3 linked regions of the Schizosaccharomyces pombe genome follow. The gene in region 2 interacts genetically with the main gene of each other region. Each region holds a gene or a part of one and is shown on either strand. Other genes may lie near its edges. The genes, in order: tol1, trm6 and dhp1.

The links.
Region 1: of trm6 (region 2) and tol1, a mutation in one rescues a mutant of the other (synthetic rescue), as found in Schizosaccharomyces pombe (one study listed by BioGRID).
Region 3: of trm6 (region 2) and dhp1, a mutation in one rescues a mutant of the other (synthetic rescue), as found in Schizosaccharomyces pombe (one study listed by BioGRID).

Annotation. Positions count from the first base shown.
Region 1 is NC_003421.2:1,542,416-1,551,897, reverse strand, and holds tol1 (3'(2'),5'-bisphosphate nucleotidase/inositol-1,4-bisphosphate 1-phosphatase), read right to left. Parts: upstream 1,995-9,482; 5' UTR 1,895-1,994; coding exon 833-1,894; 3' UTR 501-832; downstream 1-500. Other genes in the region: zinc finger C3HC-type containing RNA export factor Rsm1, read right to left, coding at 1-204; meiotic recombination protein Rec7, read left to right, coding at 2,829-2,981, 3,039-3,152, 3,258-4,010; G-protein-coupled receptor Git3, read left to right, coding at 7,317-8,717. UniProt on the Schizosaccharomyces pombe protein: Phosphatase that converts adenosine 3'-phosphate 5'-phosphosulfate (PAPS) to adenosine 5'-phosphosulfate (APS) and 3'(2')-phosphoadenosine 5'-phosphate (PAP) to AMP. May regulate the flux of sulfur in the sulfur-activation pathway by converting PAPS to APS.
Region 2 is NC_003423.3:261,134-270,812, reverse strand, and holds trm6 (translation initiation factor eIF-3 gamma subunit Gcd10), read right to left. Parts: upstream 5,459-9,679; 5' UTR 5,440-5,458; coding exon 5,345-5,439; intron 5,209-5,344; coding exon 3,915-5,208; 3' UTR 3,584-3,914; downstream 1-3,583. Other genes in the region: SPOM_SPBC800.14C (uncharacterized protein), read left to right, coding at 624-1,106; sum2 (translation initiation inhibitor), read right to left, coding at 1,859-2,845, 2,954-3,135, 3,174-3,232, 3,271-3,323; translation elongation factor EF-Ts Tsf1, read left to right, coding at 5,999-6,898; ribosome biogenesis protein brx1, read right to left, coding at 7,163-8,050; atb2 (tubulin alpha 2), read left to right, coding at 8,739-9,679. UniProt on the Schizosaccharomyces pombe protein: Substrate-binding subunit of tRNA (adenine-N(1)-)-methyltransferase, which catalyzes the formation of N(1)-methyladenine at position 58 (m1A58) in initiator methionyl-tRNA.
Region 3 is NC_003424.3:3,353,877-3,366,357, forward strand, and holds dhp1 (5'-3' exoribonuclease Dhp1), read right to left. Parts: upstream 7,128-12,481; 5' UTR 7,017-7,127; coding exon 4,041-7,016; 3' UTR 3,874-4,040; coding exon of another isoform or gene 3,253-3,873; 3' UTR 3,204-3,252; coding exon of another isoform or gene 2,856-3,203; 3' UTR 2,268-2,855; downstream 1-2,267. Other genes in the region: cnt6 (centaurin ADOP ribosylation factor GTPase-activating protein), read left to right, coding at 1-1,739; SPOM_SPAC26A3.11 (mitochondrial omega-amidase), read left to right, coding at 2,856-3,203, 3,253-3,873; Tf2-4 (retrotransposable element/transposon Tf2-type), read right to left, coding at 7,671-11,672. UniProt on the Schizosaccharomyces pombe protein: Possesses 5'->3' exoribonuclease activity. Required for the processing of nuclear mRNA and rRNA precursors. May promote the termination of transcription by RNA polymerase II. Essential for vegetative cell growth and chromosome segregation.

The sequences.
Region 1 (9,482 bases), on a different chromosome or scaffold from region 2:
TATCTCACCAATTTGAGGATCGTTTACATAAGCCCACCGACTTCTATAAGTCAACAATCGTCTCAAAAACTCTTCTCTGCTCCAGGGCTTATATGTGCATTTAGAAGCTTTTAGAGACTTTAAAAGAATATCTTCATTTCTTTCGTCAATTTTGTCTAACTGATCCAAAATTTCATTTGTCTCCATATCGGTAGGAAATGACATTATCACCCGTTCTAAGAGTTAAAAAATTATATTTCTTTTCGAAAAATGTGGTGTCTCAAATATTATCATAGAAAACTTTTATTACATGCCTTTTCCAAACGTTTTCAGCAGGAATCAAGGTAGCGCAAGTCAAAGTACTTAGGAAGGATCTCAAAATACCAATTTGGATCATGAGCTCAATATTCGTTTCATCAAAATTGTTAAAAAGTTTTACCGTTTTAAGAAAACATGTCCATGTTATTAGCCAAACCACACTTGAAGGCATAAATTCCTTGAAATTGATCAACACCACCGTATAGTAAATTTACGAGAATACTAAAAGTAAAATAGTAAGGTAATATGGAAAATAACTATACAATTAACCTATTCATACTGACCTGTGTAACTATACCTGAACAATTAAACATTGCTACTATATAATCCATAATTTAAGGTAAATAAAATATGTCATCCATAAAGACATATAACATGTTGTTAATTGTTTTGATCTAATTAAAAGGAGCTAATCATAAGCTTATGGCAAGTAAATATTTTCAAGATTACATTTTTTGTAGAATCCTCGATAACGCATATGCTAACATGCTGAAAAATCTAAATAAAGCCCTAAAGCTAGAATATTTCGGACAGATTATTGGGCGACCTTTTGAAAGTGAGGGTCTTTAGATGTTACAGCTGCAGTAGCTTCAATTACCTTTTCAAAAATACCTTTGTAGGCGGCTATAACACCGTTATTGTTCTTAAGAGTTCTTCCTACACCAAAGTCCAAAGGTTTGCCAAACATATCAGAAACAACACCACCAGCCTCTTCAACAAGAAGAGAACCACCAGCATGATCCCAAATTTTTTCTTCAAATGTCATTTTGGTTGGTAAACGAAGGTAGATGTCACCATCACCACGAGCAAGACTAGCGTATTTGGCTTGAGAATCCATCTTGGTAGGTCCACGAGTAATCCCTAAGTACTTTGCAATTTCTTCTTGAGTTCCTTGCATTGAATGACCAGCCTCTACTCCTTCGCAAAATTTTGAATCCTTGGTGTTTTGAACATCTTGCATGTGCACTTGAACTGGTTCTAATTTTTCGTTATGGAGAGAATACTGGAAGCAACCATGGTTACGAACAGCGGACATTATGATACCTTTGGGACTTGTCTCGGGCTGATTAAAGTCATATGGAAGATTAGGGCATCCAATGGCACTTACCACAGGTTTTCCATTCTCAATCAAAGCTAAACAAATAGCATACTGGGCACCACGTAGAAATCCTTTAGTTCCATCAATGGGATCCAAAGTCCACATACGACCATTGCGACCACCGTGATATGATCCTTGGTCAATAATGCTCATCATTTCTTCAGCTGACTTGATTTGACCAAGCTCTTTGTATTCAGTAGCATGTTGGATAGTTTCTTGAACTAATTCCCAAACACGAGAGCAGGTTTGGGTGTTTTCTCTCAAAAAGTCGGAATCCTCTTCGCCAACAATTGGATCATTGGGAAATGCATCTTTTAACATAGAGATTACGATAGCTTGAGCACCAAAATCGCCAATAGTCACAGGTGATTTATCATCTTTAGTAAGTGCCCCAGCAGCACTCTTCTCCTTGATAAGTTGATTAAACACTTTTTCGGTCAAATAGCTAGCTCTGCGCACAGCAGCAATAGCTAATTGTTTTTCGGCATCAAAGCTCATGGTAAATAATTTTCTAATGTTATTTATTAATGGAGGTATGATTTTAGCACCAAATTTCCTGTTAACACGGAGTTTGGAAATTTTTGTAAACCTGGGCAGTGGAAGTGCGAAGAATATGAAATCAGCATATACGGTGTTTAATTGACGTTTCCACATTTAACCAAAAATATTGTTCAAATAGAAGAAAGAACTAAAAAATTGTTATGAAACGAGAAAGAGTTTCATTTTTTCTGACTAAAAGACCTTTTTTTTTTGTAAAATCGCAGGTTATGCTAACTTTTATTAAACAATAATGATTATGTAGTTTCTATTGTGAAAAGAGCATGTTAATATTTTAAAACAGGTTTCTCCATGTCCACATTTTAGGTTTTCATTAATTATACAAACGACACTACTAAAGTCTGGGTATTGGCAAAGCAGTTCGCCAACCCTTCCAACCTATGGAGAAAGGATGAAATATAATATTAAGGAAAAAAAATATCATTCTGATGGAAAAAACGCATAATTTAAAAGCAGTGCAAGTCCGTATCTTGCGTTTCCCTTTAACAGGCAAATATGCCTAAAATTTTTATATAAGTGTAGATACCAAGGATGAAATGAAGGCATAAAAATATTTTAAAGGGATTGATTAGTAAAAGAAGAAACTGCTCATAAAATTTCCTTTCTCTCAAAATACTGTTGTTTGAAGAGACTTGAGAAATTAATGAACAATCAGATATTCCTCAATACAGATTGAAGAAATAGTTTCCTTATGGCAAATTACAATCATATGTAATATATTGTGATAACAAGACTTACATTCCATAAAGTCTAGTCGTTTTCAGGTCAACTCATAAATGTAAACAAAAGTAATACACCGTGACGGAACGTACTGCGTTATCAGATAAATGAGGTTCAGTCTAACGCGTCTTCTCATATTCAAACATAAACAAACATGAACATTTTCCCAATTGTTAAGTACTCTGTAGCTGAGGATTCGTATACTACAGATTCCTCCCATATCAACTGGTCACATTATTCAGATGGAGGTTTTACACTCTCATTAACGTCTGGATTGCTTCAAATTCGTCAACACGAAGAATTAATTGTACGCGACATGAAACCATATTGCTAGAAAAATTCAATATTTTTAACAAACAAACAGCAAAGTATAAACTTGTTAGATCTCTGGCACCAATTGATACCGGGAACGAAGGAAAAATGTCTAACTCTGCTTTCACGCGCTCCGTGTATGAATATTCGTGCTTTCACTAATAATGTAAGTAAAACAAAAGCAGATTTATTCAAAATCACATTGAGGCCTCTTTTTTTAAAAAAAAAAATGGAGTGTTGATGAAGCGTATTTTGTTGTTAATAAATTTAGGTGATGAAAAGATTTCAAGTGAAATTCCCATCTGACGTGCATTATATGAAAGCCAAAGTTGAATTTGAGAAGCTAGGCCTGGTGTTCAAAGATGCAAAGTCTTCCTCTGAGAAGAAGCAATTCAATAACTCCCAAAGTCAATCTAATAACTCACAGGAACTTTCGTTGATGAACAATGCATATAACAAGTCATCGGCGCAACAGCCAAATCTTTTATTACAACCGAGTTATATCCCCATGACCCAAACAGCAACAACTGCTGTGAACAATAGCACAAACTATGTCAATCCAGCACCACTGCAGCATGTCATGCCAAATGCTGAAATCTTCTCCAATACACCACCGCTTAAGCGATTCCGCGGGGATGCGGGCATGACCCAAATGCCCCTTCGAAGTGATACATCAATTGAAAGTATTACTGCGTCACAACAACCCACTTGGGATGAAAACGTGGTGATAACTTCATCACCTTTTAATCCCAATCGTAATGCCTACTCTTACGGTGCAAACTCACAATACCCCATTATTGCTGCTACGCCGCTGAACTCTCAGACACAGGCTTCGTGGGTTGCTCAACCGGAGAACCAAGCATACGCAAATTTGATTCCATCACCCCCAACGACTTCACAAATCCTACCAACAGAACTTACTGAAGAGGAAAAGCAATTACGCTCCAAGGTATTATTCTATCTAAAACAAGACAGCTTCATCCAATTATGTCAAAGTTTGGAACGGGTATGGAACAAGATGTAGGAAGACAGACCAATTCAACTTAATCCCAAATTTAAAAAAGTAGTAAAAATGGAACGAAATCAGGATCGGAATGGTTATTTCGACAAAATTGATGTGTGACCACAATTTGGCAACCAAATGAGAAACTTCATTAAGTTCACATTCTTCGAGTACCGTGATAAAACATTTGTTGCAAATTTTGACATTATTTAACGAAAAGTTGGTCGAGATCTCAACTGCATATGATCGTTGCTGAGGATTAGCAAACAGAAACCGCCAACACAACAATGTTGAAATAAATTTCTCTACTTGTTGCATGACTCTTTTCCCTTAGGCTTGTCCATGCAGAGCATTAAAATCAAATTGAGAAGATCCCGTTCCGATCCTTGGGGTGTAAGCCTCCACCACGACACATAATCGGTATCAAAAGACAACTCTGAAAACTTTTTGATGGGGGAATTGCCGCAAGTACAGCATGAATACTAGTGTTAATAATGGGTCAGGTTACAACGGTTAAAATTGAGTTGGTGGTTGGTTTTGATAATTGACTTAACAATCCACGAGAGGAGTTCATGACATTAAGTACGAAAATGGTCAAATAGTTAGTTTAACTTCAAAAATAGACGAACCAAGTGGAGAAAGTAAATGTTCCGAGCACCAAAAAAAAAACATGATATTTTTTAAAGGGATGAAACAGCTAGAACGTTATGAGTGTAAAAAGGATTTTTTTTTTTTTTTTGGGTACTTCCGAGAGAGACAACAGTCTACAAAGCTTCACAATGATTTCAATGTCCGTGAAGTAAACCTTAAAATGTCGAATCGACTTTGAAGGGTTGCATGCGAATTATCAAATAATGTTTAAAAGTGTTGTCAATGGAAAATGAATCCCGTTTCCCATTTCACTTAATCTAGCTTATCTGCCTAATCGGCACTTAAGGTAGATGGAAACCAGAGAATATTCTTTTTTCCTCAAAACAAAAACGCCCCCGCTAGTAAACCTAAAGACAATACCGACTAACGATATTGTGATTTTCACTTGGTGGAATTGGCGGAAATGTTTTCAAAGATATGAAGGCATAACCGGATCAAACGGTTTCGACAATGCTAATAGAATTCTCTTCACGTGGACGAACCGGTTTCCAAGGAGAATAAAGACATAATAATAAAATTTAACACTCCTTGTTTTATTTCGACAATATTTATTGGTCTGGTCCGAATTGTTCATTTTGGTAACTACAACATTACTCCCTATTTTTAAGCACGTTTTCATTACCCCTAATTGAAACTTGATTCTATCAACTTTCAATTTACCGGGGCTCGTTTTATTATTCTATTCTCACCATCATTCGATTTTCGCTTCATTTCTGTTGAGGGACTGCTTCCTAGATTGGTGTTTAACGCTTATCGCAACGCATGGAGTTGCATTTCATCCATTTTCTTTTGAAAATAAAGTGTGACCTCTTCTTGTGCCTAATATTGACTTGACTTTAAACACTGTAAAAATAAACGCTGTTTTTTAAAACCATCAATAACTTTAAATCATCGGTTCCTTTTTTTCTTTTATAACGAGGACTTTCTCATTAACGCACTCTGAAATGATTCTTTTCACCCTGATTTTTTTTATGCGATTGTATTTGCTCCTCACGATATACTATACTAATCACTATCGTACTTAAAAAATAGGCCGATCGTCCGAACCTCGTTTGTCTGTGCAAAAACAACTCTCGTCATTCTTACACAAAAATTTCGTTTACAGCGATACTACAAATTTTTTTCATAAGTTATAATGGTTGGTGGTAGCACATCTAGGAGTGTGAAAGCATCGCCGATATTGTGTTAGTGCGACAAGGCTCATCAAGGGATTAGGGAAATTTTTTCTTCAATAGTCTTGCTAGAAAATTACTCGGAATTTGAATCGTTGTCGATATTTTTTTTTCTGAAATTACAATTGTTCATTGTCTCTGCGTAGGTGCAAATTTCTGATTTGCTCTACAGCTTGTGATCTTAAATCTACTTAGTCAATCGACTCTGTACTATTGACGCCTGGGCCCCCTCACATAATTCAATTGCGATCTTTTTTTTTATTCTTCTTCTGTGGACTTAAGGTGCGGAGACTTTGGTTTATTTGTCTCCTCTTGTGTTTCTGTCAAGCCCGTGTGCTTGCATATTTTTTCAGAAAAATCCCGCATTGGTACTTAACTACTGTACTTGCTATAACACCTTATCCATTAGTCGTTGAGGTATATTTGTGCATATTCACTACACACTCATACACAACAGCAAAGGCGGCAACTCTCCGCCATCATTACTTATAATCAAGCCAACTCCATCAGCCAACCCAAACCACGGCGCCTTCAATTGATTTGTCTTTTCCTTAATTATCGGTAAATTTCACCGATTTGATTTAGTACCGCTTTATTCACTGTACGGCGTTAATTGCAAGCCATACCGCCTCCGATTTCCCTATTCTTCAATATCCTTAAGAAGGTTCGCCACGCTATTAAGAGCCTTGCAAAACGTGCATAAGTGGCTTTGAGCTCTAAGTGACTTCACTAGTGCTTTCTTTATAAGCACAATACATCGTTGGTTGTTCACGTCAATTGCGCTTTTCTTCTTGCCAAGAGTGTCGAGACGGGACTGCGCTTTATTAATAATCGTCGGCACCGTTTTGCGTCCGGCTTTCCTGGTTGCATTCGTTTATCACTTTTGAGCTGCTTCGTCGGCCACGATTAAAGGAAAAAGCAGTAGATTTACTATTTCAACTTTTACCTTTAACAGTTTAATCGTGTGTCTACAACTTTCGAAAGAATAGTTGAGTTAATTGAAAAGTAAAGACGAGAAGCTTGTTTTTGGAAAAAAGAAAACAGAAACAAAAATAAAAGTACGGGAATTCAAATTCATATTCGAAACAAACTCGTTTAGTTTAGAGAGCTCCTTCTATATTGCCAGTTTGCTAAGTTTTTTACATCAACTTGAAGAGACTGTTTATATTCGCGAACGAAGCAATTTATAGAAAATCGAGGGTCAGATATGCAATCTTGGGTAATTGGATATACGAGATATACTATTTTTTGCACTTCTTAAGGGTAATAGGACTGATTACCCAAGTGGCTGAAAATTCTGTTTTGCTTTCTTGTTTGTCTATTTGAACATTTCTGAAGTCATAGATTTGTCTTTGGAGTATTCCTTTTTTTTTTGTCTTTTTTTTTGTTTTTCGTTCTGATATTGCTTTTCTTGTTTTTTACTTTCTCACCTCCTCTCCTCTCTTTTTTTTTCCTGTCTTCTTGAAGAGAAGTTTAAACTTTGTAATAAGGAACAAGGTTGCTCATGCTTCATTTAGATTATACGTTTAATGTTTCCGATGCCACGAGTACGAGTTCCATCATCATTGTCTCTCGCAGAGAGTTAGCTAACCTGAGAATCATGGTCATTATAGCTTCAGCCATATCTATCGTTTTCAGCTTAATTGCTATCTTCTGGCGATGGTCTCGTCGGCGAACAATACGTGAACAATTTCATATCGCTCTTTTTTCTGTATTGTTTATTCGTTCCATTGTGCAAATGATTCATCCATGTCTAGCATTAAGCGATCCTTTTTTTTGGGCTCCAAAACATCGATGCTTTACAATTGGATTTTTTCTTTTGGTACTTGTTCGGATGACTGATTATTGGATTTTTATCAACATATTGCATAATGCTCTTTTGGTGCTTTTCCCCCATGTTGATACTGAACGAAGGGGTCTATATCGTTTTCGGCATACTGTGTTTACACTGTCATTTGTAATTCCTTTAACTATTGGCGGACTTGCTTTTACCAATAAAAGAAATACATTTGTCAATTTACAAACCCGATGCTACCTTCCCTATACCCCTGTACGATTCATGTTTGGTTTGAATTGGTCATTTGATTATGCGCTAAGTATTGCAATTATTGCTTTACAAACTTGCATGTTCATCTCGATCAGAAGGAAAATCAAACGTTTCAAGAAATACTCACATCAACAAACAAATGTGTTTGATACTTTAAATGTCATTGATTCGTATCCTACCGCTCCGGATCAAGTAGCTCTTCCACCATTTCCCGACACCAACAGTACTTTAACATATACTCCATCTAATTCTCAATCCATTTACTCCTCGCAGTCTCAACCTTCTCCCTATTCGAGACCGTTACTATCCTCTGTGCATCCTAATTTGCCTCCTGGTTCGCAGTCTACTCCTGCTAATCTAAATCAATCAGGAATACATTTCGAACAGGATTTTAGGGATAGTCCAAATCGCACAAATGGCCTTGAAGATCACACGAGTTTTAAACTCAGTAGTCCATTGACTAGTGACGAAGATGGTGCTTCTAGTGTTTTGGCTGCATATGGAAATGATATGCAAGATGATCCCCTCCTTAAACAACGGAAACGCATTTTAAGTCAGTCTAAGTTTTTGTTTGCTTATCCTGCAATTTTTATCTTTATGTGGATTCTCCCTCAAATACAGATTATCGTTATACTTGCCCAACCGTTGCACTGCTCTGGTTCATGCAAACGATTCGCATTTGTTGCAGTCTTTGCAGACAACTTCGTTGCCATCTTTATTGCCTTGTCAGATTTTATTTGGATTTGTTATCGTGGCTACACGTATTTGAAGGAAAGAGATTCGAGTAAAAGTTATTGGGATCAAATAAAGGAGTTGACTTTAAAATGGTGGCGGGGTAAATTTGGTGAGGAAAAATAGAAGGATTTGTTCTTTTTATTTTTGTTTATGGTGAAGTCTCACAAGCTCCTCTTCTTGTATTATAATTTCTTTTTATGACGATTTTATTATCACTTTACTTCTTAAAATTTTCTCATAGCCTTTGCATTCATATGTCTTCCTTTTTTGTTAAAGCCATCCAGTGAATGACAATGGAATGTGAATGGAAACAACTGTGGTAAACCAACTAATATTTTAATATCTCCCATTTTTGCATCACCTCTAATATATGTCATACTTTAATTTTCGCTTCCCAGAATTTATTTCGAAGTATTAAATTTTGGCACTACTTAACTTGGCAAAAGGCTCGGATTGGAAGATGGTTTAAAGCTTGGCTGCTTCAAATTGATAAGGCCGCTCACAATTATCGATGTATATATATGTACTGTGTCTATGACAGTTTTCTATTCATCTCGGGGAATTCATTTTTGGAACGCTTAGTCGCCTAAACAATTCTTCCTTATATAGAATGTTTATGTTCAGCTTTACCAACTATCATTCACTCGTTTTCATTTTTCAGATGCTCTTACATTTTACTGCTTGCATTAAGCATCTGTCTTCAAAACTATATTCAAAATTTATGTCCCCAATACTATATTTCCTCAATACATAAAATGGATGGATTGTGCATAGCAATACGTTTATGTTCTTATTTTGTATATGTCGATGTGCGAATAGTCATTCACCATTAGCTATTCTTTTGTTGTGGATAAATCGCTTTTCTTCCTATACGATTTGTAAAATTGC
Region 2 (9,679 bases):
TGAACGATATCTGTTAAGGGCTACAGAGATGAGAAACATACCTATCGTTTAAGAGATAGGGTATAGAAAAAAATTCGGATAAATTAATCCCGGCTGTTAACAAAGGTCAAACGTTACGATGGATATGCTCCATGTTGTGGGTATATGCTAAATCATGTTTCCAAAGGATCGTTAGACAGGATATTACACATTTGGAAATCGCAACCGCTTGAAATACTTCTAGGGTAGTACTCCGCTGGGCTAGCATACCATTGTCAATGCTTTAGCCTCGCAATCATGTAAATAGTTCTTATACTTACCAAATAAATCTGGTAATTTAGCACATTTCGGGGTATAAGCTATTAAACCAAAGCGTAGAAAACAGCCTCTGATATACCGTATCTTTTAGTAGGATTTCAGGATGGTATAAAATCATGAGAAAGGCTTCTGTTAAATCAATATCAAAGTCTTAATTTCATATTGCTTGTATACCCAGGTGGCCACTATGGCAATAGTAGCATATTACTATAAACAGTTTCTTAGTTACATATAAATTGGTAGAGGAAATTAAACGTTGGAATATACATTGTACTTAACATACACCTTCAGCCACACCAATTTTCACTCAATTTCACTAATTCACGATGAGTCTTGTCTATTTGTTTCAATCTGTCGGAATTCTTACTCCTTGCGGAAGTGCAGGAGCCATTGCTTACATTACCAGTCAAGTGTTGCCTGCTATTTTAATCGGTCCTGCAGACGTCGCTCTGGCTCAATGGAAATACATATATAGTATGGGCAAAAAGAGCTTCCCATTTTTAGCCATTGCCAATGCTCTGGTTCAGGGCTATTTGTCTTATTCGGAACGGAAGAGAAGTATATTCTCTTCAAAATTGTATGCTATATCGGCTTTATCTGGACTATGTATTATTCCTTTCACGCTTTTGTTTATGAAAAAGGACATTAACTCTTTACAAACGTTAAATCCAGATCTAATACTTAAAGATGTAAAGGCTACTCAAAATTTCCGCAGTATAATTCACAGATGGGGTTTTAAAAACTTATTTCGAAGCGCATTTATGTTTTTCTCTGGTTTAGCTTCAATCGCTGGATCAATTTACTTTTGATAACAAAACATAATTGTAATGTATCGTTTACGTGTTAACTCTTGCGTTCCGATATTCGTTGATGATCAAATAATATTAAGTTCTAATTTTTCTACTGCTGATTATTAAAACACTATATCACGTAGTTAAGTTCGTGAAATTTAAACTATTAAAAAATGCTAAAATTAAGAGAGCACATTTTTATTTTTAAAACGATTCGCTTATAAATTGTTCATACTGCTCAAACATTGTTGTTTGGATTCTATAGTTTGTCAGCTTCAAACAAGTCGACTGAATCAAATTTTTACAAAACGCTTTTCAAAAACGAAACGACTGTTGAAAAACACGGGTTGTTCAATGTTCAGTCATGCAACCAGCGATGCTTTGGGTCTATCAAGGTGTATAAAAGAATAAACATTAGCGGATTGGTTAAGTCTTCAACCTTTTGGTAATTATATGTAACCCATTAACATTTATTCGTAATACCTTTACGAAATCTCGGTATAGGATATCGTTTCAATGCTTGTTCTTCTTGCGTAATACATGAGCAGATAAGTATAGTTTTTAAAGCACTCTACAAGAACTTAACAAAACTCCTAAGTTAAATATCAAATAACAACGACTAATCCTTTTGGTTTATATAAGAGAACACCTTTTTTCGGGTCGTTAAATACATGTCCATAAATTTTGAGTTCATCATGATTGAAACGAAGACGAAGCTCAATCTAGAGAAACGAGGATACTTCATCTGTACTCATTATAAGAAATGCAGTTCATTGGTCGTTTGCAGGCTGGGCTCTAGGTTGAGAGCCATTGGAATTCCTGTATTGGTTATATTGATTTCTTGCATATCCACGTCCACGACCTCTACCACCACGTCCACGACCACGTCCACGACGGCCGCGATTTCCAGAGCCAGCAACGCCAAATGTCTCCATGTTCAAAGAACGTTCGCGATCTCGTAGAGCTCTTCTATCTGCAGCTTCCATACCCTTCTCTTTACTTTCACAACTAATATTATCAAAAAAAGATTGCTTAGGCTTGTAAAATTCTTCGGCTTCTTCATCATTTTTTCCTTTTAACAAATCATCTTTCATCGATTGAAACTTTTGATTTGCAGTTTGAAAGTCAAATTCGGTACGAGGCTTTGCAGCACTAGCATCAGGTTGAGTTGTAGGAACTTCTTTAGAAGGTCCAGATGTTTCAACGGTTTGGGATTGAGAGACATCCACAGTAGTATTCACAACACGGTCATTTGTGACAGTGGAATTCCGTATACTAGTACTTTCTTTTTCAATAGATGCTTCAATGGAGGGCTGTGCACCTGGTATCACTCCATTCGTGGGCGGCATGGATTGAAGAGACGGAGATGCAGATACCGCGGTAGGACCAGGAGCAGGCATGCCCGGAGCAAAGTTGGGAGGCTTCTGGTTTGAAGGCATTCCGTATCCAGGACGTACGTTGTACGGGGCCTGACCGGCAAACCCTTGAGAAACATTTTGAGCAAACTCAGGACGTTGACCCATTTGCTGTTGATCAGGTGCCCCATAATACGGGACCGCAGGTGTGGATGCGTCTAAGGGAGTACCCAAAGGCAAACCTCCAGGAGGTACAAATTGAGCGGGAGCATTCGGGTACATATAGTAAGGTGCACCTGCTGGAGGAGCCTGTTGGTATGGAGCTCCATAAGGGTTAGGTTGAACAGGCTGAGGAGGTTGGGCAGTCTGCGCTTGGTTCCAATTATACTGCCCGCTATTAGACTAATTATAGTTAAAATCATGATCTTGTCAGATATATAAAGAGTGCCAAAGATAATTAATACTAGATATACTAATGAGAATCTCCACCACTCTTTAGACGTAACATACCCCAATAATTGCAGGATCATTAGGAGGTTGAACCGGGGGAGCAGAAGGAGTAGTAGCAGGTTCCTCAATCCGTAAATCTTTAACATCGCTTCCACGAAAAACAATGTAATCAAATACATTATCTGATGGGGGGATTTCTTGAGAGGGATCTTGTTTTCTTCCTTCAGTACCACACCAACGGACTAAACTGTTAGTAATCAATGCTGGGTACTCAACCTACCATGCTTCAAAGCCAGTGTTGAGTCCTGGGAATTGATGTCCTGCAAAATGCCCACATAACTAAATATTAGTAAAGGAAAGATAATGCTCTCACGTACCGAATGTCAGATTTGCTAATTAGACTAATACGAGAACCAATAAATTCAGTCATTGGTTATAAACTCGACGAAGTAAAGCTTAGTGGTGAAAGGAGCGTGGTTAGGTGTCCTTTCGAAATTAACGAACTTGGCGATAGCGCTAGTATGGGGTTCATTATACCGAGTAAATAAGACCAAAATGCGACATTGTCATTTATAAGCTGTTTTTTCATCAGTTTTTATATTTATTTAAAATTAACATGCTTAAGATCAAAAAGGCTATCCACAGCTGCTCTGACCATGTACTACTTATTTTACTTAAATACGTATATGTGCAGCAGTCAAATTGTAACTAATTTTATACTTATTACAAGTAATCTATTTTTAAAAAGAATGAAAATGCCAAGCAAAAGACACTGTACTTTAACGCTCTTCAAAATTGAGTTAACCTGAAACCGCACCGTCAATTACATTATCCAACTAACATATTCATTTTCTGATACGTATGAAAATTTTAAGTTAAAGAATGAAACAAAAAACTTTTTAATATAACAAAAACCTTTTCCCAATTCAACGTAACTGAGTTTATGTCCAAAATTGTAACTCCCCTTGTTGATCTAATAGAGTAGCCTTGAAAAAAATATTCCAAAAGTAATATTTCATATCTAATTTTCCAATTTTGCTTTTTTGACAGAAGAAGTTTCTTTCTGGCCCTTACGTTTTGGAAACCTTCCGGCAGCTAGATTGCTGTCAGAAGTTAACACCTTGATCCCAGATAAAACGAAACCCATATCACCCCTAACAGTCATGAATGGATGAGTCCTTTCTGGCAAGACTTGGTAAGGTCGTGTACGAATCTCATGAATATCCAGCATGATGACTTTCTCTTTCTGTGTATCAATAGCAACGTCTCCTTGATCAACCTTTTCGTCATTTTCAGTACTTTGAGCTGTCTTTTCTACAAATAAGTTATCCCATTTAGATAATTGATGATACGTCTCGACTAAGACTTGCTGATATGTTGAGTATACCATGAAAGGACGTGATATACCGAGCTTTGGAAGAAGATGTTGAAGAACAGACATTGGGGTGTGAATAGATAGTATAAAGAGAGCATCATAGTTACCACTTTCAAAATCATCAATAGTATTCTTCAAACGGTTAAATGTAGCTTTCTTCGTTTCATAGCGCTTACGGTGGCGAAGTTTCATCTCATTCAACTCTGATTCAGGAATATCTTCAACCGAATACTCACTTAAAGTCTCGGTTGGATTCGTAACTTGATACCAATTCAAAGTTTTCAAAATCCCTTTTTGAACCAAACTATCCTCTTTAAAGTCTTGCCCCCAATACTCTAAACAAGAGCTATTAGGTTGCTCATTTGGATGGACCAGGGTTATTTTGCAATCACCAGCAACACGGTCAATAAGAGAACCAAGGAACATGCATCCAGTCTCATCAACTACCAAATATCTACCCCCAGGTTTAACATTTCCAAGAGTAAGCATCAAGCTTATACACTCGGCAGTAAGATCAAGTATCTTATACGGATCATGTTCAATCATGTAATTAGCCACAACTTCAACACAAGGTCGTAAAACCTGAAAGCGTTGAAGATACTTTTCCCCTTTTCTCGTAACATATTTCTCCTGAGCAAATAAAGTTTTTTGCTCAAAAGTTTTACTACTATTAGTCAACTGTTTGATGGCCTCTTCAGCACGAAGTCCACCAGCTTTAATGTTTGCGCGCAGTTCATCAATCTCCTCTTGAGTCATAAGCTGATTGCCTCGACAATCATTAAGTTCTTGATTCGTTTTCTTTTCTTCCTCGATATACTGTACCTCCCTTGTTTTTAAAACTCGAATTTTTTTGGGTTGATAAATTTCAAAAGTTTCGTCAAAATGCTTTCCAAACAAATCATCAGCGAGAAATGAACCAAATTTTCCGAGGTGAATTGTACTATTTAATATAAAGTCAGTAAGATCAATATGAACGAGATAAACTAGATCACCTCTATCTCCTTATGCAAAAAACAATTTCAATTGCTATCATTGAAAATGTACTTTAAATTGTAAATTAAGATCCTCATACTTACTTGTTTGGTTTCAATGTTACAAAACGAACATTGTCTGAAGGAAGCTTGATGAAAACGCTGCTGTTTTCGGAAATAGTTGATGCATGCCTCAGCATATTGTTCTTGGCAGTCCTCAGCAGTTGTGTCACGGCCTAAGCAATTTACATGATACATTCAAAATAGAATTATTCATGCTTAATGTTGTTCTCTGTAAAGATTGTGGGAAGAAGTAAGTTTTTTTTCTTTTCTTACGAAAATTCTTTGATTTCTTTGAAAAACTGATTTTTACAACAATCTCAATGTTCTTGTACACAAATGCCTCAGATTGCCCCATTAGAAAGATGTCTAACCCATGAGAATACATTATTACGTTTTTTACTCTAACTACTCATAGTTTCCTGCTGCTCTAATTATTATTCATCAGCTTTGTATTCATTTTTTTACTGTCCCAAGCTATATACTTCAACATCAGTTATGTATTTGAAATTTGTGCTTTTTTTTAAACGAAATGTAGTTCTTTTAATTATTTATACAATACTGATCAATTTGGATCACAGCCTTCATAAGCTCCATACAGTCTCTTAGCCAAAACAGAACCCCCGATTTGATAGACGGGCTACTAAACCAGAAAAATCGTATTCCTTTTTAACGATATACCTTGATACAAAACAAATTATGCTTTTTCAAAGGAGACTTCATTTTCATCAGTTTTTTGGGAAGACACGTGTCACAGGTAGTTTAAGTCGGCAATGGTATAGTAAATTACCAAGTAAACTGGCTGATATAAAGAAGTTGAGATCTGAAACCAATGCATCCATGGATCTTGTGAAGCAATCCGTTGAAGAGGCTGGTGTTGGAAACCTCGAGCTAGCTAGAGAGATTTTAAAAAAAAAGATCGTTCAGCGAGGTGGTAAGCTTGCTGAAAAATCGAAGAATCGTACCGCTAAAGAAGGTTGGATTATTCAATGCATTAGTGAAGATGGGAGGAAGGCTGTAATGGCCGAGATTAATTGTGAATCCGACTTTGTTGCTCAAACTACACCTTTTCAAGACTTAGCTAGAAGGATCGCCTCTACCTTCCTTCATTATCTTCCAACAAATCATTCTTCTTATTCTGTTGAAGCAACTTTAAAAAATGAGATTTTGAAACACCAAGCATATGTATCCAAAAATCATGAAGCCAATGAAAAAGATGTTTCAAGTAATGTATCTTTGGAGGAAGAAATTGTGAAAATGACTTCTTTTACAGGGGAAAAAGTTCAAGTACAGAGGCTCCATTGTATGAATGCAAGGGTTCCTAGTACTGCCATAGGTATATTTTCTCATGGTGCGAAACAATCTTCACCATTGCAACAATTAGGGCGTATTGGATCTATGGTACAAATCAACTCTGACTTAAGTACCCGAAAGGGATTATCGAATCAAATCGCTAAAGAAATTGTAGCTCAAGACCCATCCTCAACCTCTGAACTGCTTTCATTTCGTTCATTAGTGGATTCCGAAAAAACTATAAAAGACGTACTTGGACAGTCAACCATATTGGAATGGGTTCGCTGGGAGCGAGGGGGAAATTAATGATGCTTTCTCGCTTCAACTTTTGATTCAATTAATACCAATCCCCGCTTTATGCTTATTACAGATACTACACCTAAAGATGCGATAGTTAATGACAAAAGAAATTATTTTTTCTCTTCTTCAATATCTCCAGTACTCTTTTAAACTATAAAATACCTACATTATGTTTATGTGATCTTTATATTATAGACCAAAACATTGTTATAAAAGTTTAACTTTTACAAACACCATGCACCATATTTTATTACCTAAATACCTATAACACTAAGCAAAAACATTATCCAAAGGATCCTCTGGGATTACGTTCTGCTGAGCCCTAACTTGACGTTCAAGTTTGCTTTCTTGACGATTAACATAACGTTGAGCAGCTTGATTACGAATAGCAGCACGAACCATCGTACTACTGACAAAAGTATCGTTTTTATAGATGACAGGGCCACCAAAGGAGCCTTCGAGGATATTAATGATAGTCATTACAAAGCGAGGACCAATTTCAATCAGAGTGACAGGGTCTTTCGACTTATCCTCATTTTCGCGTATTTCGTAATTTCTAAACCAAATTTTTCCATCCGCAATAGTCAATGTGCATACCCGGTCTATAAAGGGCTTGCTACGACGAGCGCCCTTGGGGATACCGAAAGTTTGTTGCAACAGCTCTTTAACAACTTTAAGATGAGGAGCCGTATCAAAAGTTTTGTCAAACGAAAGAATAGGTCTGGAACCTTTAAGAGCATTTCCAGTCATATTTAACTCATCCATGGTGTGAAGATTTTCAACATGAAATTTTACAGTTGGACCGTTTGGAGCTCGAGCAATGTGAAGATACAAGTCTTCTCTTCTCCTAGACTCAAAAAAGAAAATATTATTACAGTTGTAGAGTTCGGCAAGCTCATTTAATTGATAAAGACGATCTTTCGAATCTAGTTTGCTGTCCTTTTTTGAATGAGGCATCATGCTGACCAAATCATTAAGCAAATGTCGCTGACGATATGTGACACCCCTAGAGGAAAGAACTAGGACTTTTTGTTTAATAGGAACAAATCCGGCAGAATGCTTATTTCCTTGACCGTTTTGAACAGGAACGTATTCCTCGTCCTCATCCTCATTCTTTGGAGCCCTTTCACTTGTTTTCAACTTATACACTGTACTCATTTTTTTTAAATCGTTTTATAAAAGCCTAATAACAGTGTTCCAAATAAATCAAAACTTTTTCCGCGTAACTCTAGTATAAGCCGGAACAAGGCTAAGAAACAAATAAATGCAACGTTTTTATATTTCGATCTATCAAATCCTCAATTACGGAAGGGCAATTAGTAGCGACACAAGAGATATACGCTGCTGACAAGTTTTTCGTCGTAATAAAAGAGCTTTTGAAGAGAAAAAAATTACGGCGGAGCGTTGCAATTCGTTATATATAATGTGCTATGCATAAACTCTACTTTTGCTAGGAATTCTCCTTGCCCTTATGTAATATTTTATATACTTTTAAAAAGATTTACATGAGGATATACCTGTTCTATAAAGGAGCACATGTTGAGTTTTAATGGAAATTTACCAATCCAATCTTTCACTTACAAATTGAGAAAATAAAAGGTGAAATTGATGAAGATCCTAATCTTTTTATGATTAGAAAGCTTAAAACACCTGACTGAGTAAGCTTCTTTTTGCAAGCAATGCATTATTTTAATGTCTATTTACATGTTTAGCATACTTCCTTCCGTATCATCAATAAATATCGTTAGACTTCTTTATTAAGGAATTGTTTTGATTAAGTGTACACCGCACTTCACTACAAACCAAACACCAAAAACCTCGTAGAAACCCTGGAAAGACGTTCGAAATGAGAGAGATCATTTCCATTCACGTTGGCCAAGCAGGAACTCAAATCGGAAATGCTTGTTGGGAACTGTATTGTTTAGAACATGGTATTCAACCAAATGGTTACATGAATCCTGAGACTGCATCCCAAAATAGTGATGGCGGGTTTTCTACTTTTTTCTCAGAAACTGGTCAAGGAAAATACGTTCCTAGAAGTATTTATGTAGATCTTGAACCGAATGTGATCGACCAAGTTCGTACTGGCCCATACCGTGATCTTTTCCATCCAGAGCAATTAATTACGGGCAAGGAAGATGCATCAAACAATTATGCTCGTGGTCACTACACTGTTGGAAAAGAGCTGGTTGATGAAGTAACTGACAAGATTCGTCGTATTGCCGATAATTGCTCCGGCCTTCAGGGCTTTCTCGTCTTCCATTCGTTTGGAGGTGGTACCGGTTCAGGCTTTGGTGCCCTTTTACTTGAACGCTTGGCCATGGAATACACGAAAAAATCAAAGCTTCAATTTTCTGTGTATCCGGCTCCTCAAGTTAGTACTTCTGTAGTTGAACCTTATAACTCCGTTTTGACTACCCATGCTACGTTGGACCTTGCTGACTGTACATTTATGGTTGACAACGAATCGTGCTATGATATTTGCCGTAGAAACTTAGATATTGAGCGTCCTTCCTATGAGAATCTCAATAGATTGATCGCTCAGGTTGTTTCTTCCATCACCGCCTCTCTTCGCTTCGAGGGCAGCTTGAATGTTGATTTGGCAGAATTCCAAACGAATTTGGTACCTTATCCTCGTATTCATTTCCCTCTCGTCACTTATGCACCAATTGTTAGTGCCGCCAAGGCCTTCCATGAATCTAACAGCGTTCAAGAAATCACCAATCAATGTTTTGAACCCTACAACCAAATGGTTAAATGTGATCCTCGTGCCGGTCGCTACATGGC
Region 3 (12,481 bases), on a different chromosome or scaffold from region 2:
AACAAAGCAAAAGCTTTTATGGATCTTTGTCGCGTTATCTATCAGCTAAAAAGGACAAAAAGGGAGGAGACTCTAAATTTTTTCAAAAAGAGAAAACGTTTGCCTTACAACGATATGATTACTATTGTTTTATGCAAGACCTTCACGATGGTTCCATTATTAATGATATTAACGGTATTTTTTTGCAGTACTTTCATCGCCAATATGACCATATTGCACTTTTTAGTAATTTGATGAATAGTGTTCTTCCGAATCTTCAGCAACTCAATTTAAAACTTGAAAAAACAAAATGGAGTACAACCAGACGTGACAAGGGCAGAGAGATGCATCGTTCCCAGGTAATTCAAACTAGCGGTCGTCCAAAGTCCATGGCACCGCCTTCACCATCTCCGATTTCCCCTTCTTTCCCTTTACATGAAATACAGAGTCCTATGCCAAATCGTCGCATGGCAGCCTCTGCAGATGATATTAGCCAGACAAGCAATTTTACAACGGAGATAAAGGGAAAGTGCATTTCTAATGGGGGTAGTGCAAGCCCTGACAAGATTTTTAAAGAGGGTCTACTCTTAGTATTTGGTGCTACCGAACTTGGTACAGATCTAGCTATGGTTAGTAAAGCCGCTTGGCACAAGCACTGGATTGTTGTTGAGAACGGTTCTTTATGGGAGTATGCAAACTGGAAAGATTCCGTAAAATCTAATGTTTCATCCATTTCGTTAAAACATGCATCTGCTGATAAAGTTCGCAAACAGGGAAGGAGGTTTTGTTTCGAAGTTGTAACTCCGAAATTGAAGCGACTTTATCAAGCCACGTCTGCTGAAGAGATGGACTCGTGGATTGAAGCTATATGCGAAGCAGCAAAGATTTCGTCTTTCCAACTTTCTAGGGTTGCAACGCCGTTGAGTGCAAGTGTGAGACGACCCTCTAAGGTATTTCCACTATTTTCTACGAGTTTTGAGACCACGCCTATCAGCCGAAAATTAAGCGGTTCGGGTATTAAGAAGGCTTTCAGTAGAAAAGGCTCGTGGAACCTTCAACAATTTTTTCGATCAGACAATTCGGGTACTATGCATATGGAACAGTTAGAGAGATACCATGCCAGTGCAAACATTTTCATTCAAATGCTCCGAAAGACCGATGTCTCTAACAGTGTGTGTGCAGATTGCGGTTCGGTTAAAGATGTTACTTGGTGCTCGATCAATATACCGGTAGTTCTTTGTATTGAATGCAGTGGTATACATAGGTCTTTAGGTACTCATATATCGAAAACACGTTCTTTGCTACTCGACTCGTTATCGCAGCAATCGAAAGTCCTTTTGTGCAAAATTGGTAATGCTGCTGTCAACCGTGTTTATGAAAAAGGACTTTCTAATCCTTCGCTGAAGCCAAAGCCGGAGCATAATGCGCAGGTGAAGTTGGCATTTGCCCAGAAGAAGTATGTGGAACACGCATTCATTGACTTTGCAGGAGTAGATGCTGATGCTACTTTATTGGAGGGTTTGGAGCAAAATAAAATCTCCAAAATATTACTAGGTTTAGCCGCCAAACCAAATTTTGAAGAGAATGGAGTGGTGTTTTTAAAAGCGGTTACTCGTGATACTAGTAAGTTACATCTCTTGGAACTTTTATTCATGAATGGGTTATTGCTTCCTGACTCCGAACAGTTGTCGGAGCATGTAAGTCCAGATATGCAATCATATCTTTCGCAAAAACAATTTACAAAGTATTTGAAAGAGTAGGGAGAAGCATTTTTACTTTTTGCATCAAATCATCTTTTATGTTCATTTTTCCAATCGAATTCATTCTTTCTTTTTACCATCTATTTCAATATCTATTCAGGTGTCATTTCATTTCGGATTTCCGTGAATTCCATGATTTGAAGCGCAACGAATTTGAATGGAGAGCTTATTAATCTCCACAGCTTTACTCTTATTCGGATCATGTGTTAATTCTATAATTTATTATTGCAATTTATTTTGGTTGTTTGCTAAACAACGTAATTTACTCATTATTTTCTTGGTCATCTTTTGGTTTTCGAACTTTCTTTTCCTCTTTATTTTCATTATACTCTTAATCTTTTTTCTTTCAATACAAAATTTTTTGACTAAGGATACAGCTATTCTTTCTTTAAATACGCATTCAAATGCGATTTTTAGGCTCTTCTCGATTGATGGATCTTATGCATGCCATAAGTTCATTTGTTATTGAACAAGATCAATATTCAATATACGTGAAATTAACATGTATGCCAAACAGTTCATTCGAGCTATTATAACATTTATTTTCTTCTTTTGCGAAACGAAGACGCTTAAGATTTTATTTTTCAACACATTCGGAACAACTGAATATCTATAGTAATTGAATCCCCTTTTTCTAAAAATGACAGACGATATTATCATTACCTATAAACTAGTTGACACAGTAATAAATATCATTCTTTTGTAACTTGTAGATAAACAAAAACAATTTTTTTGGTCTTGCCTTCCGTAACATTCAAACAACGATTTCTATTTGTGTAGTTGCTGCTTGAATGTAAATCCCTTTTTCTTCTTTAGATTTACAATAGATTGAAAACTAGTTTGATGTCGACATTCTTCTTATCAAAGACATGGAAGTTTGATCACCTTGCTAAATTTCTTTTTGATAACAAGGTGTAATTTGGATTGGAGGATTTCGCTAGCCACGTGCTTAATAAGTTACATTGAGATTTCAGGAATATAATATTTTGGAGCTCAAAATTATCGCAAGCTAGATATTCTGAGACTAGCCTACAAATCAGGACATCTTCCCTCGTATCTTTGCTTTCTACTCATTCCTCTTCCTTCACCTAAAATTTCAAGTCGGTGATTGTTTATATGAACAGTAAATTTTTTGGACTCGTTCAAAAAGGCACAAGATCCTTTTTTCCTTCATTAAATTTTTGCTATACAAGGAACATCATGTCTGTCTCAGCTTCATCTCTGGTTCCTAAAGATTTTCGTGCTTTTCGTATTGGCTTGGTTCAGCTTGCCAATACCAAAGACAAGAGCGAAAATTTACAACTCGCTCGTTTAAAAGTATTGGAAGCCGCTAAAAACGGTTCTAATGTCATTGTATTACCAGAAATTTTCAATTCACCATATGGTACTGGTTACTTTAATCAGTATGCTGAACCTATAGAGGAATCATCTCCTTCTTACCAAGCTTTATCCTCTATGGCAAAGGTTTGTTAATTTAATTTTCGTTGATTATGTGAGACTAACGGTACTGTAGGATACTAAGACTTACTTATTTGGCGGTTCTATTCCTGAACGCAAGGATGGCAAATTATACAACACTGCAATGGTGTTTGATCCTTCTGGAAAATTGATAGCCGTTCATCGGAAAATTCATTTATTCGATATTGACATTCCTGGTGGAGTTAGCTTCCGCGAATCTGATAGTCTTTCACCTGGCGACGCCATGACTATGGTTGACACTGAATACGGGAAGTTTGGTTTGGGTATTTGTTACGATATACGATTTCCGGAACTCGCTATGATAGCAGCTAGAAATGGCTGTAGTGTGATGATTTACCCTGGAGCATTTAATTTGTCCACAGGCCCTTTACATTGGGAACTACTTGCACGAGCCCGAGCAGTTGATAATGAGATGTTCGTTGCTTGCTGTGCCCCTGCTAGAGATATGAACGCTGACTATCATTCATGGGGACATTCTACTGTTGTAGACCCTTTCGGAAAAGTTATTGCTACTACTGATGAAAAACCGTCTATCGTTTACGCAGATATTGATCCCTCTGTCATGTCTACCGCTCGAAACAGCGTTCCTATCTATACTCAACGCCGCTTTGATGTTTATTCAGAAGTATTACCTGCTCTTAAGAAAGAGGAATAGATCGGTATAGTTGTTGAGTATAATTTTATGTTATCAACATGCATTTTGTAACTGAATTGCATAACTAATTATGCAATGTGCCAATGAAATTCAAATAATCAGATATATTATTTATCTCCAATATCCCAAACCCGCTTTCAAAATTGTACTAAGAAAACTTAAATGTATTAATAGTAGCCATTCCTGTTATTATTGTTATAGGATTCTCGCTGATAGCCGTAACCCTTTCCGCGATTACTACTATAGTGGTTACCAGCTGGCGGTCCATTCGAATAACCACCACCTCTCGAGCGCCCGCCGTATCCTTCGTGGCCGCCGCGAGAGTTATAGCTTGCATTAGAACGAGGAAAATTGCCATTACCAGACCAAGGAGGTTGAACTCCACCGTTTGCAAAACCATTAGTAACTCCAGTGTAGCTCTGTCGACTACTGTAACTTTGCGATTGGTAAGAGCGTCGGACACCATAACTTTGGTGTCCTCCACGATACGAATTACCATTGTTTCGGCGGGAAGAAAAGCTCCTCTCTGCACGTACTTGGTTGATATCTTCTGGGGTTAACACCCTGTTCGGCATTTTCACTCCCCTTAAAAGCATGGATTTATGTACGAAATGCGATTTAGGTACTTCAAACACAAGACTTATAGATTGATTATCATCTATGCTTCCATACTTCTGAAGGGCGTCAGCGGATGTAACATCAATTGGGCATTGAACGGATACATTGGGAATTACGGAATCATTGGTGTTAACTTTGCCAAACAATCCATGTGCCATCTTTCCGGATAACTTAAGTGGTTTACCTTGACGTTTCTTGGAGTAAAGTTGTTTGACAAGTTCGCTAAACATTGGATGATGTTCAGAAATAAATAATAAAGTAGAACCATCCTCATTTCTTTTTGACTCTTCCTCGGTAAGTTGAGGATAGATTTTTGATACAGCATTCAAAAGCCGATTTTCATCTATAAATGGTAAAAGAGCAACTCCCTGCCATTCAAATTTTTTCCCGTTTAAATCAATAGTAAAATTTTCCGGGTAAAAGTCAATAATTTCAGAGTTTTCATCAGTCATAAGAGTTTGCAATTTTTCAGGTAAATTATTTTTACTAGCAGCAGGTAAAACGCCTAGTAATTGTTCGTAAGGCTTGAAGGGTTGATTTAGTTCAAATTTTACATCTATGGAGGCCAAATCTTTGAAATCAGCGGCAAAAGGAGCATAATGATATGGATAATACCAGGTCCAAGATGGACAGCCTTGATAATAATACAAAAGAACCCAGCACAATCCATGAACATAATGTTTAACAGCTTCACGAATTTTTTCTGGTTCATCGGGTGAAATGTGGAATTTTTGTTCATAATACCGTTCGCGGTATCCAGGCTCATACAGGCGGACTGTATCAGTATTTTCATTTTCTTCAGTCGAATCTGGGGCCTTTCTCTTCTGACCCACATTTGAAACTTTTGTGTCTATTGGATGTACAACAGGGGTACTAGATTCAATACTATCGGTATCTTCATATGCACTGGATGAAGCTATGCTGTCTTCCAAAGGAACATTTTGTAGTGTCTCATTTGAAACCAACTGAGCTTTCAATGCAGAGGCCGCCAATTTGTTAACTGAAGAAACAGCAGCTGCTTCCCTAGAAAGTCCAAGACGGTTAGCAGCGCGATTATTAATTAATTCTCTATTAGTAGCGCCTAGAGATCGATTTGAAGTTTTTTCAGACAAATTAACCAAATCCACTGGAGCCGGAGCGTCAATTTTTTGAGTTTTCTTTGGCGGTTTAGTATCAACAGAAGTTGATTTAGAAGAGGTAACAACTTCTGTCGATTGCGTCTCAACTGAACGCTGAATTACGACGTTGTCAACATAAGATTCTGATTCCTGATTTGACTCGCGTTGTTGACGGCGTCTATAGTTTTCGTTACGACGATCTTCTTGCTGTTTAAGACGCTTAAAAATATCATCTTCCTGGTTACCTACAGCACTCAGAATGACTTCAGCACGAGCTAAATTAACAGAACCATCCAAAGTAAGATAACCACCCATGTGCGGAAGACTAGCTCGCCATATTTCAGTCAACCGCTCTACGGCACCATCACGAATATCTAAACTAGGCAAATGAGGAAGAAAATCATTACCCACAAAAAAGATAAAGAAGACCCAGTCGTCAATCGCACGTTCTAAGTCAAATGGAAAAGGTAAATTGGGGACATAAAGTTCCACTTCTAGATACTCCCTCAAAATGCTAACGTTGAGCCATATAAATGGTTTTTTTACAGGAACCTTATTGGTCTCAGAAACATCATCAAGTCTCTTGATGCCAAGACGCTCTTCCTTTGTCTTTTTAGTACTTCCTTGTTGAAAGAAGACATCTTCACGCAATACACGAAAATGGGGTTCATGAGTAGCCAAACCAAGCATAATTAGGTCTGCATCTAAACCGTAAACAACGTGGTGTGTATTTGGATCATACTCTGGTTTCACTCGTTGAGATCGAATAAATTCCATGATCTTATGCTCACCTTCACCAGGAACCGAGGCGTCAGAAAGTATAAATCTGACATTTCTCCAGCACGGATCACTATTTAGTTTATTTATTATGTAGTAACGAAGAGACTTGGCCAAAGTGTCCATGAAAGGTGTGCCGGGGGTAATGCAATTACTGTCCCAAGATTTTTTCTTCGTAGCGTTTTCGTCGATGGGAATTCCCTGTTGTTTTGCCTCCTCAATGAAGGCTTGTAATTCTTCTTCTTTGAGAGCTGCTTCACGAGAAGAACGAAAACGACGTGATCTCTGCTGATTCATTTTGGCTCTAGGAGCCACGCCATCGATTGCAATGAACAATAACTGACGAGGACGAACCATGGCAAGAATACGATCCGTGTATTCAAAGACAGCAACCATCATCTCGTCTTCAGTCTCTGGAGCGGGGCGATCTTCAGGATGGGAACAAGGATGAACAATACCATTCATATCCAAATACAAGTTGTCGCATTCCACTCCGTTTGGATTGGGAAGACTTAAATCTGGTTCAATTTCAGTACCATCTGGAAGCTTTTCAGTAGGAGCCTCAATAACAGGTGTAATGACCTTTGCGAATTTCCTCGACAAAAGGCGGAAAAGTGCTGGAACACCCATTTTTTGGTGTAAAGGAGAAAATACTCAATCGAATAAATCTTCTCCAAACCAAATGCTTCAAAAAAGCCCAAATTGGTAAATTTTAGATACTAAAGACTACGAGTGTAGTATAAGTTGAAGATTTAATATTTAGGTATTTTAATCTAGATCTAGCGTAGTCTCCGCAGTCCTACCTAAATTTTTTAACGCACATTGGAGTAAATTGGAAATTACTAACGTACTCGCTATACAATAGTTAAAATCTAGTCTCTTAAGTGTAAGCTACGCAGTTTGGTATCTGATTTAAGGATACGTAGAACTGCGGTGAGTTTTCCTTGTGATCTATTATATTACAATACACAGGTTGTATAAGTAGCAACTGAGTATAGGTATTGTATTAACTGGGTTATAATGTTACCTATCACTAATATAGCTCATAACTGAACTGAGGAACGAGGTTCAGCAGTAGCTCTATTTATAGTATTCAGATAATATTGATCTTAATAGATTATCATTAAGATCAATCTCCATATCGTATCATACATGGTACGATATATAATTAGAACATGTGACATATAGTGATACTCAACGTAGTGTATTATAGCGTAGTGTAGTATTGCTGACATTGCCCTCCCCAAGATTTTCTATGTAAATCTGAGGATAAGTCATATGTTCTCAGATATTTAGATTATTGTTTTTAATATAATCATTGACAATTGCTTTGTCCGCTTGTAGCGCTGTAGCTAATGTAGTCCATCCTGACATAATAGTACTCGGATTTAGATTCGAAATGTACTTGACATTTAAGTAGAGTACTTGTTCTCTGTTTTTATGTTCTAGGATATGAAGAATTGTTCCAATATCAGACTCATCAATGGTAGCGTAATTGAGTTCTGAATTATGTCGATACTTTTCTAGGTGAGAAACATGAAAAGTAGATGAAAACATGTGCTTGATTGAATCTGGAAGATCCAATTCATAGTTGTTTGGACCCGACTTCTGTAACACATAGAACGGTCCTGCAAAACTAGGTGCTAATTTATTGGATTTATGAAGAAAACCTGTTTTCGTTCTTTTGACCATAACTAGGTCTCCAGGTTGAAATTCTTCAATTTCTTGTATTTTCATATCGAAATACTTTTTCATCTTTATGTTGTTTGTATTCAAGTGTTCTTTAACTGTTTGAAATACTTGGATCGTTTCCTGAGAGTTTTCGTCAGTTTTGTCACTAAAGCTAGGTAACTCTAAAGGTGATAAAGCTGGTGAATAGCGATGTACTATCTCAAAAGGTGTCATTTGAGTTGCTGAATGTATCGCATTGTTGTAAGATTGTTGCACTAGGGATATATGATCTACCCATGTATTTGGATGTGTGCTACATACACATCTTAGTAATTTCTCCACAGTTTGGTTTGTACGCTCAGTTTGTCCATCAGTTTGTGGTCTGTATGGTAACGAAAATTTCATAACGAAATTATATTTATGTGCGAAATCTTTCCACGTTTGGGAAGTAAAAATATGATCATTATCTGCAATGATTTCTTTTGGATTGCCGAAATAAGCAATAACTCGTTGATCAAACATTCGAGCTGTTTGCTCTGCTGTAATGGATTTCGTACAAGGTACTAAGATTGCCATTTTTGAAAATCGGTCAACTACCACGAAAAGTGCATTATAACCAGATGATTCTGGTAAAGCTGTAATAAAATCCATTGATAAAGATTCCCAAGGTCTTTCTGATGGGGGAATTGGTTGTAAAGGTCCATAAGGTTTATGATTCCTAGATTTGTTTATTTGACATGTATGGCAGTTCTGTACATATTCTTGTATTTGTTTTCTTATTCCTTTCCACGTAAATCTACGTAATATAATGTTTGTAAGAAGTTCAATGCCTGGATGAATCAATTTACCTTCTTCATGATACTTTTTAATAATTGTCCTAGTCAGCTGAGTATCATTAGGTAATAAGATTTGGTCTTTACTGTTAATTAGTAAGCCATCTTTGAGTTGGATATTCTCTTCCACTCGTTTGTCTTCATTGTTTAGTAAATTCAACAATTTTGTATCATTCGTATATTCTGTAACCACTTGGTTTTTAAAATCATCGGTTATCGAGATTTGATTAACAAAGTTGATACTATTGTCTTCTGAATCTTTTGGAATTGGTTCTGTTTCGTCAACAATTCTGGATAAGGCATCAGCTATGTGATTTGCTGATCCAGGTCTGTAGTTAATTTCAAAGTTGAAGTCTTGTAAAAATAATTGCCAACGAGCTAAACGTTTGTTTTCAGGCTCGGATTCGTTAGTAATGCGACCAATTAAGTTTCGATGGTCTGTTAAAATTTTGAAAGGTTCGATAGTGGATTCTAAATAGTGTCTCCAATGTTTGAGAGACTTAATGATTGCAAGCATTTCTTTGTCCGATACGCTATAATTTAATTGTGCTTTAGACATCTTTGCTGAATAGTATCCAACAGGATAGTATTTATCATCATCATGTTTTTGAGACAATACGGCTCCTACAGCGACATCTGAAGCATCAGTTTCCAGTAGAATCTTTTTACTGAAATCAAAGTGTCGTAGCACCGGAGGAGAAACTAAACATTGTTTAATGTTTTCTATCGCTTGGGTTTGTGTTGGTGTCCATTTCCAGCGTACATCCTTTTTCAAAAGATTATTGAGTGGATGTGTTAATTGTGATGTCTTTGGAATGAATTTCCTAAGATAATTGACAGAACCTAGAAATTGTCGTAATTCTTTACGATTCTTAGGTTGCTTCCATTGTAAGACTTTGTCTATATTTTCTTGACAAGGCGTAAATCCTTTTTCCGAAATGTGATACCCTATAAATTTTACTTGTGATTGGTGAAATTCACATTTTGCTTGATTGATAATTAAGTTCGCATTTTTCAATTTCTGTAGAACGTCTTTAACATGTTTTACATGTTCAGATTCCGATTTTGAATGAATTAAAATATCATCCATATAACATACTACATGTGATTCTTTGGCTTCACCAAGTATTGTATTGATAAAGTATTGAAAATGTGCTGGAGCTGTAGATATGCCATAAGGCATTACTAGATATTCAAAAACTCCACGAGGACAGCGAAAAGCAAGTTTATGTTCATCTCCTTTTCTTACTCGTATCAAGTGATAGGCACTTTTGAGGTCAAGTTTAGTAAAAATTGTAGAACCTTGTATTTTAGCAAGTAATTGTTCAATAAGTGGTAACGGATATATATTGGGTTTGACATACTTATTTAAAGGTTTGTAGTCAACCACCATTCTCAAGGTGCCTTCCTTTTTCGGAACGAACATTACTGGACAGGCGTTAATGGCTTTAGATTCTCGTATAATTCCACTTTTTAATCCTTGATTAATTTCATCATTCATAGCTTGCATTTTTCCCGGTGGTAGCGGGTAATTTCTGATAGGTAATCTGTAGTTTTCTTGAGTTAGTTCAACTTCAAATTCTAACCCTTTTATTGGCTTTGGTAGCTTTTCCGTATTGGTTTCTGCAGTAATGTCTTTGAATTCTTTATAGATATCTGGTAACTCAGGTTCCTTGACAATATTTGAAACTTTGTTCATTTGAGAGAGCGTGTGTTTACTGCTAGATATTTCAATGTTATTGTCATATAATGTTGTGAAGGAGATAGCAGCTGGATGCGAAAATTTCTTTACAACCAAGAATTCTGTTTTGATTGATATTCCATTTAGACTTATGTTAAGTTTTATTGTTTTGCGATTAATCTTATTTGGATAAACTCCACCATATATCACACTTTTTGACCAGGGTCTGGTAGGCAGTTTATGTGCTCGAACAGTTTCTTCTGTTATAATATTTGCTTGAGCGCCCGTATCGATTAGACAGGGTATTGAGCACTTGAAGTCTGGAAGTTCAGCTTGTAATACCATTTCGTAACGTTTCCTAGTATGATTTAGGAATTTGTTAGATGAGTATTCTATTCTCGAAACATTTGTCTTCCTCAGGTTTCTGCTATTAGTGGTGTTATTTTTCTTTGAAAGGGACTCTTTTCCTAGATTTTTATTTTGCAGTTGAAAACGCTTGTGAGTTTTACCATACGAGGCTGTTCTTTTGTCCTCTAAAAAGTCATAAATTTCACTGATTTCTGATTTCCAGTAATTTCTTTCCTTTAATTTCCTTAAGGAATATGGCAGCATCCATAATATAAACAAGCGAGTATGGAAATCATCAACATTTGCTTTTGACATGAGTTTCCTTATAAATTGAACTTTGTCCAATTGATTTCTAAAACCTTCAAATGTTTTAGTTAAACGATCACCTTTGTTGGATCCTTGTACTTTCCCTGTTTGTCTGAGTAATTCTTGCCATGTAAGACTTCCATTCTCAGAAAACATGCGTTCAGCGAATTGTTGCTCTAATTCTTCTAGGTGATTCAATGTATACTGTCTTTTAGTATGCTCATTTGGGAATAATGAAGGGTATTCAGTAAAGTGTTGATCAAGTTTTGAAATGTAACTTTCAACATCCTTATTAGGATCGAATTTCCCTATCTCTGGTACATGCTTCGATAATATTTTTGCAAAAAGGTTTATTAAATGTTCGTCTGATGTTTGAATTCCATCCAAATTCTCTGGTCTCCATCGTTTTGCTCTTGCTTTCATATAACGATAATTTGCGTAGGACATTGTATATGTTTCCCTTTGGGAGATTTCAAAAGGGATAACAGTCCTTCCAAAGTTCTTTCTCCTTTGAACCCAGAAGGAGAGAAATATATATATTTATGATATATATTTATTCAATAATTCCTTTTTCCTAAAGGAGTTAATTGTAGATCACAAGAGTTCAGTTATTGTAAGCTACGCAGTTTGGTATCTGATTTAAGGATACGTAGAACTGCGGTGAGTTTTCCTTGTGATCTATTATATTACAATACACAGGTTGTATAAGTAGCAACTGAGTATAGGTATTGTATTAACTGGGTTATAATGTTACCTATCACTAATATAGCTCATAACTGAACTGAGGAACGAGGTTCAGCAGTAGCTCTATTTATAGTATTCAGATAATATTGATCTTAATAGATTATCATTAAGATCAATCTCCATATCGTATCATACATGGTACGATATATAATTAGAACATGTGACATATAGTGATACTCAACGTAGTGTATTATAGCGTAGTGTAGTATTGCTGACATTAAGATAACTTTTACGAAATGCGTAGATGAATATGCTATTTAAAAGTTATATGTAAAATATGAGCTGTCAGAAAAAGCGAATAAATGAGTGTTCTCGAAGCTGGATCAATGTCTTTTACTCAATTTTTTACACAAGATTTTGCAACTTTGCCACTTTTGAAATATGACTTAGCAAACGTAACTTGAATCTACCAAAAGTCATAGTAAAGAAAAAGCTCTTAAACTACCCATGAAAGATGCGCAAAAGATATTAAGTTGTTATTTAGCGGCAGTTTTAAAAATTTTGTTGTGGAA